2 linked regions of the Tribolium castaneum genome follow. The protein of the gene in region 1 purifies or fractionates together with the protein of each later gene. This does not show direct contact. Links are inferred from orthologs where the notes say so. Each region holds a gene or a part of one and is shown on either strand. Other genes may lie near its edges. The genes, in order: woc and row.

What was found.
Region 2: the proteins of woc (region 1) and row purify together in Drosophila melanogaster (affinity purification with western blotting; 3 studies listed by BioGRID, with this or other methods). This does not show direct contact. The link is inferred for Tribolium castaneum from reciprocal best matches to the Drosophila melanogaster genes woc and row.

What each region holds. Positions count from the first base shown.
Region 1 is NC_087403.1:1,790,928-1,794,854, reverse strand, and holds the start of woc (zinc finger MYM-type protein 3), read right to left. Parts: upstream 2,614-3,927; 5' UTR 2,118-2,613; coding exon 2,106-2,117; intron 2,056-2,105; coding exon 1,425-2,055; intron 1,374-1,424; coding exon 1,150-1,373; intron 1,104-1,149; coding exon 909-1,103; intron 865-908; coding exon 597-864; intron 548-596; coding exon 1-547.
Region 2 is NC_087398.1:5,518,525-5,522,451, reverse strand, and holds the end of row (uncharacterized protein row), read left to right. Parts: coding exon 1-175; intron 176-223; coding exon 224-1,872; intron 1,873-1,921; coding exon 1,922-2,082; intron 2,083-2,131; coding exon 2,132-3,315; 3' UTR 3,316-3,535; downstream 3,536-3,927. Other genes in the region: aromatic-L-amino-acid decarboxylase, read right to left, coding at 3,793-3,927.

The sequences.
Region 1 (3,927 bases):
TAAATATTCTGACAGCTATTCGAGCAAAAACTATACTGAACATTATCATAAAACATGGTATTTTTTTCTAGAATTTCATTAGGGAAGTATCTGCGGCACATGGAACATTTCCCCGGCGCGATATTGTTAACGAAACTGAAAGCGACAAAACACCTATCGCTACAAAAATAATTCGGCGCTCCATCAGTCTCATATTCAATCGTGATCGGATTGTCAGTTTTGCAGACCGAACACTTGGTGCCCTCGTCGACTGTGGGTGGCCTATTATTGGTCATAATGTCGTACTTTTCCATACATTTTTGCGAACAGAAATCTTTAAACTGGCCTTTGTCGCCCACGGGGGCTAGAAAGCCGTCCGTTTCCGTCGACATGTCTTGCTGGCAGTAGGAGCAGACCTTCAGGCCCTTTTTATACTCCTCAAGGCAGTGACTTGAGCAAAACTGCCTAATGTCATTGCCGAAACGAACGCAATATTTCCCGAGAGAATTCGGCCGAACTTCGGCGTTACAACTCGCGCAACTCGACCCGATTTCCTTTTGGTACTTAGCTGCGGAAAAACACCGTCAACACAAAACACAACGCTGGCACAGACATACATAGACAAAACTCGTTACAAAAATCCATGATTTCCCAAGTCAAATTGTTCTCCTCATCGTCGGTTTTCTTTTTACAAACGACGCACTTGCGCTCAAAGGACAACTTAGGAGGCTCTCGATTAGTCGCCAAGTCTTTCACGCGGATCTCGCCCTCCCATGTCAACACGTAATTATTCGCGTTGTCTACTTTGAAATTGTCTAAGCAAGTGTCGTGGCAAATATACTGGACGTCGTCGTCTTTAGTAACGGTGTATTTGACTTTGCGTTTCTACAAAACTGGTTTACCGCCTGACATTATTATTTTTCACTTACCAAAACACATTGAAGACAAGTCTGGAGCTCCTCATTGCTGCACTTTGATATTTTAAACTTATTGGTGGAGGAAGACGCGTCGGTGGATGCTGCCGGCGGCTCAGGAGTGGCGCCATCCTCGGGAACTTCGTTAGAAGAGCTCGCTTCTGATATGTCTCTTAAGGGCGGGATCGAGAAAGCTGCTTCTTTCTCCTCCTGTTTTGCCCAAATGAGACAATTTTTGACACGGGGTAGTATTTACCTGTGATATGACTCGTTCAGTGTCGGGGATTATGCACAGCTCCTCATCGGCCCCTTCCTGATTTTCTGGAATGAAGCCATCGGACGCGATGGGGTCTTCCTCCAGCAACTCATCCTTGTTGTTTGTCTCTTTATCGTTGTCTTCTTTATCAATGTTGACGAATAAGGGGTTGTCTCTCTGCTCGTCGTCTTCATTTTCGGTGTTTCCTTCCGCGTTTTCATTGTCTGAAATGAGTTCAATGTGATAACATAACTACGATTTGGGTGATACCGTGCCTTTGTCTTCAGTGTTGCTTTTGTCAAGGACTGGCTGCTCATCCAGTCCCACATACTCGTATTCTTCGCGCGGCTCCTCATTTTCTACAGTTTTGTCAGCCTCGTCTTCACTTTGCTTGTCTTGAGATTCCTCGTGAACTGTGTCGTCTTTGGGCTCCTCTTCTTCAAACGTCTTCTCGCTCTCTTCACTCGTATTGGCGTCTTTATTCTCTTCTTCAATAACAGTGCTTTCGTCTGGGTTATCGATATCCATTTTTTCGTTAATTTTTTCAATTTCTTTGATCACGTCCGCTGTCATTTCTCCGATTTTATTCGCTTCGTCTTCCAACTTATCACAGCTATCTAAATTATCCGATTCAATGACTTCAGGTATAGTATTATCTTCAGGAGTTTGACAACTGAGCGGAGCTGACGTTGAGTCCAATTTGTCATTATTATCGTCTTTCTCAACCGGAGTTTGATCAGAAGTGTCCATAAGGGTGTCAAAGAGTTCTGGGTTTGTAGGTGCATCGTCTGGGGTTTCTTTGGAGTTATCATCACTTGGATTAGTCTGAGTGGAATCAACAATTTCCGGGTCAGCTGGCGGCTCTGCCTCCTCGCTACATTTCGGGACAATCTCCTCAAAAATGTCCTACAACCAAGAGATTAGCCACAGAGTTAGCCACCCCCTCGTGCACTTACACTGACGTTCATGATTAAAAACGACTTAAAAACCAAAGGGGAAGAAACTTAAACTAACACGGTTGTTTACTATTTAAACAATCCGCAAATAATTAAATACACCACACTTCTACACTAGCTTTAACAAACGCCGGCGTCCTCAAAATTAATCACATTTACAGCCAAATTATACCCAACAACTTAATTAATAGTTAAAACGATCCAGACTTTAGTATATTACATTTTTAAAGAAATTTACATCGATTTGCTGGAATTAAAAATCAAACTAACATTTTTTCACGAAAGTATTAACAATAATGGTGGCAGCTCGAGAAATAACAACATTGCTGCCAACCGACACGCGCCAGATACATAAGAAGCAAATCTCGGGGGTTTCCCTCCCGTGGCGGGCAAACTAAAATTCTAGCACAGAAATGCGAAAACAGCCAGTTCCTAGCTGTTTTTACTAAAATAAGTCGAGGAACAACGCAAATTCGGTTTTAGCCAAGCGGTGTAAAGGGCGACCGTGGCGCCGCCCTTGCGGCAATTGTCACCTGGTGGAGTAATTTGCCGATTTTTACATTATTATAACGTTTGGTCACAGTCAAGCACAAAAATAAGCAATGGTTTAGTTTTCGGCTCTTTGGACAACATTTAATAAGTTATAATCTCAGTTTAGGGTGTGTATTGCTAGTTGCCTATAGCACGTTACGTAAGAGTTATATTGGCTTACAGATAAACCATGGATAAAAACTGCAACAGTTTGACTGGTAGTTTGGAGGATATTTAAGAGATGTCACTGGTGTGGACTATGGGGCTCTGGGTCTATATTATATTTATGATCTTTTCTTATAGATAAAGGGCAATTCGTATGTTTTGTGATGTCTAGTCGTCTATAGGAGCGACAATGGTCATTTAACCTCGATTAAGAGCCATGCCGTGGTATATAATGGTGTGGGTTAGAGCAGCGCGGCTAGAAGTAGAATGAGCGCGCGTTGACCGGTCAGCGGTCGAGGGAGGTGTGAGGGATTCTCTAATTCAAGGCCAGTTAGTAATTGTCCGACTTCAATCGAAAAGCCGCCTCTTTGATCTCACCGCCTCGGCACGAACTATACAGCGCGGATATCAACTATTAAAATAGTGGTCCTTCGAGAAAAATTCGACTCTCGAGGAGGTTTCGTCATTTCTGATGCTTAAATAGACCGATCTCGGCGCCCGAAATAGCGTTTTAATTAAAAAGTTTGATGCGTTCTGTCATAAATGTCACAATAGAGGCGCTTGATTTTTGTTTATCTTTTCTATTTTTGTGCGGTGTAATAACGCACAATTTGGAAAAAAGACTAAATTAGAACTCTCAACGCGGCTGTGTTCTAGCCTTTAGGCTACGAACAATAGTTATTGTGGTTGTGGTTGCCAGTTATGGTGATCTTCATTTGCACCGTAACTTTAACGAGGCGGCGCTGGACCAATCACAAGGCCGGGTTATTGATAACCGTGACGTCACCTGTCAAAGTTTATCCCGATATATATAGTTGGAAGCCTTGGCCTAACTTAGTGATAATGAATGGAGACTATCCACTTACATAATTAAAACCATTCATGAATTAAAATCGAGTAATCCAATTAAGACGACCTTCTTATCGGGGAAAAATGTTATCGGGCCGAGTGGCGTCAAAATAATACGAGGGCTATTAAAAAATAGCTCGAAAAATTTGTGGTACACTTGACATGCGGCAGCCATGTTGAATCGTTTTACCGCCACAGCTGGCGGTCAGAGTGCTGAAGCAACGTTCCAGCGGCTCCTTTGATCTCACAGACAAGATGTAAAAGCTAAGGGCAGAGT
Region 2 (3,927 bases), on another chromosome or scaffold:
CTCGAAGTTTCCCTATTCGGGGGGTTACGTGTGGATTTCAGAGTGTTGCCCCCAGAGGTTTGTTTCGGTTTTTAGTGGCTCTATATTTGAAGGGTCGCAGCATCCACCGATGTCAATTTTGAAACTTTTGTACCATTGGTGTTGCCAGACGATTGTGCAAAACGTTACTCAATGGGTAAGTGTAGTGGGTCGTTTGGTGTACTTTTCTACTGGTAGTTTTCAGGTCAAAGTTGATAATCTCTACGTTAAAGGTATGTACACTTGGCTGCGCTCCGTATGTACAGTTGCAATATATTCCCATATTAAACAATTGGGTGGGCCGGGGGTTAAAGTTCAAATCGGGGTGATAAGTCTCGGGACAACGTCCCAAGATGGTAACAAGCGAGAGGTCAAAGTGGAAGTATTGGGAATTCTGGAAACCACCACCAGACATATACGACTGCGAGCGGTGGAACCGCTAAGCGAACTTGAGCGTAATTACAAGAAACGGTTCTCAAAAATCCTTGAGCCGGTGTTCAACTGGGTGCACCCGCAAAGTATCATTGTAACAGATCTGACAGTTGACAAAAACACACTGCATCAACTGGGTTTCCTCCACGTCCAACAAAACACATCCAACGATTATGCGAACAGCAACCGTACTATAATGGAGTACCTGCGACGCATCGTCCCCCGAATGTTCCAAAATACGTTATCTCTTCTTTCCCGACCCATAATCCAGCAATTCCTCGACGAATTGGTCTGGAGGGAGTGGTACGGTACCACCGTTTTGCAATGTTTCGACAATATGGTCAAACATATCTCGGAACAGACTCGGTTCGACTCGGGTTCGTCCCTCATTAACCGGTTGAACAAAGTCAGCGCAAACCCATTCAAAAACTGGTCGATTACGACCTACACCACTTCCACTCCTTCGAAACCGGTGGAACCCGCTCCAAAGCGCTACAGCCGCTTGCGCAAACCGCAACCCTCTGCACCTGCACCACCTCCGGTACAGGAGGTAGTAAGGCCTAGTAAATCTCATTCGCCGGATGTACCTGAGCAGATGGTACCTCTTGAAAATTACTACTACGGTACCATTTCTCCGACTACGCCCTCCAAGAATAATACCATGATTAATATTAAGTGCCCCTTCTGTAAATTGACGTTTAATACGAACATCTCCCTCATGAACCACTTATTCAAACATGCGCATAACGTGTCGAATGACGTCCAATTGTGCAAGTACTGTCTGACGATAGTACCATCAGCCAATGATCTGCTCAAGCATATTAACACCGCGCATCCTGACGAAACCAAGTTTGACAACGGATTCGTGTGTTTGATTTGCGAATCCCACTTTCGGAATCCGTTCATACTAGGAAAACACTTGTCAAGGGAACACAACCCGTCGGAACTACCCTATTTGTGCGGTACTTGCGGGTTCCGGTGTTCTAATCATAAGCAAGCCGTGGATCACTTCTACCAACAGCACGACCGCGGAACGACGATTCAGTGTCCGTTCTGTCTTAAATCGACGACGATTTACTCGGGAGGGAGGAACATATCGCAAAATATGAACTACTTCATCCAACATTTACAAAAACATCAGAAAAAACAGCTGGCGAAACGGTGCGGAAAGTGCACGCTTTGGTTCATCCAAAAAGAGTTTCTTAAAGACCATCAGATCAAAATGCACGCTTCGCAGAGAGGCAAACCAGGACTGGTACCAGCGTTTGCACCGAGAAACGGCGTCATGGTGCCCAAATCCAAGATGGACAAGTGGCCAGATGATGCCAAAGTGATCAATTTCTCGACCCTTTATTTCAACGTTAACAAGAATCTTAATTGTAAAGAGTGCGGACAATCGTTAAGTTCACCGAAACACTTCGCGTAAGTTTTTTCTTTTGTTTTACGAAATTGTCTAATTTTTCAATTGTAGGTCATTTGATAGTTGTCAGAATCCAAACTGCCAGTTTTCGACATGTTGCACCACAGCCATGCAAAACCACGTGGCTAAATGTAAATTCCTCAATTCGAAACTACCGGCCGAGAAGCTCCCCTATGAGATGTTTTGTATTTGTGGCTACAGCGATACCGATGGTAATTAATTTTTGTCTAGTTGGTAAAACCGTTAATTTGTCTGTCGTAGGTAACATGTTGGCTAAACATTTGGCAATTTGCGAGCGCAAATCGGCGTATCCATCTCAGGAGGCTGCGAAAGAGGCCACCGTCACTCATAGTATGCTTGATGTTTTGGGTTTGGTGCGGAAACCAGAAGAGGCGACGTCGAGTAAAGATGATCTGCCCCGACTTATACCGACAAGATCTGAACCGATTATTTTGAAACGCGGCAGGCCTAGGAAACATCCGGTACCACCAAAAGAAGTCATTGAAGTAAAAGATGACGAAGAGCCCTTGAGTATTAGTGAGGTCAGGGGAGGGGTTAAAATTGAAGGAGAGAAACATGGTATGACTGAAATTGAAGAAATTAAAGAAAGTGAAAATAAGGATGTCTCGGAGAAACAAAAGGAAGTCCAAGAGGATAAGAGTCAAGTTGGACAGGAAGACCATCAAGAGAAAGGTACTGAAGAAGAAACAAGTGAAGTCGTTGATAAGGAACAAGAAGACCATCCTGAGAAAGAGATTGAAGAAGAAGCAAGTGAAGTCGGTGGTAAGGGACAAGAAGAAGATCAAGGGAAAGAGATTGAAGAAGAAACAAGTGAAGTGGTTGATAAGGGACAAGAAGACCAACAAGAAAAAGAGATTGCAGAAGAAACAAGTGAAGTGGTTGATAAGGAACAAGAAGATCAACAAGAGAAAAATATTGAAAAAGAAACAAGTGAAATCGTTAAGGCACCAGAAGACCAAGAAGAGAAAAATGTTGAAGAAGAAACAAGTGAAGTTATTGATAAAGTACAAGAAGACCCTCACGAGGAAGAAGAAAAAACAAATGACATTGTTGATAAGGGTCAAGAAGATCATAGAAATGAGGAAGTTGAAGAAACGACGAGTGGAATTAAGGAACAAGAAGACGTTCAACAAAAAGAAGCTGAAGATGACAGTGGAATTGTTGATAATAAATCGGAAAATGATGAAGTAAAGTGTGTGGAAGAAGAGGAAATAAAAGAACACAGTGCAGAAGCACGAGACAACGAATCTGTTAGTGAAAATACAAAAGACGTAAATGAATTACAGTCTGAGACAGTTGAAAGTGAAAGTATGGAAGTTGACAGTTGTAATGCCAGCGAAACAGTCGAAACGGTGGCAATAGGAAATCAAATGGAAAAAAACTCTGAAACTATTGATGATATCTGTCCTATGGATACAGACTAAAACCTAGAGAGTATATTACGTTTGTAAATAAGATGTTATTGTTCAAGACTGTAAAAAGTAATTGTTGCGAACATAGTTAATTAGTGTTTGCGTTTCTTTCAAACTCGTTTTTCTTTTACAAAAGCAGATTTTTTATATGCTTATCACGTCTGTTCTGTAAGGTTCTATTGAATATTATATTTGTAATACTTTTAAATAAAAAAATCCTCCTTGAGTTTAATATTTATTTTTTATTTTTAATACAACAATCACACTAATAAATACAACTGACCCAAAACTATCACGTAATTCGGAGACAATTTTCAATTTCGACCTGCTATTCACGAAAAAAAAAGCGATTTTAAAACACCTACAAAAATAGCATAATCTGTTTTATTTATATTCGATAGGATAAAATAAACCATAACCATACTCGTAATGTTACCTGCGTTTTACGTCATTCGATAGTTAAAAAAAACTCGCTCTTAACGTAAATTATTATTCTACTTGACTCTTTATCTCCCTCCACGCGAACACCACATCTTTTTCTTCCGTAAATCTACTACAAATTACAAACCTAATAACCAATCGACTTTGATAATAATACGGCATCACGAAAATATTCTTCCGTTT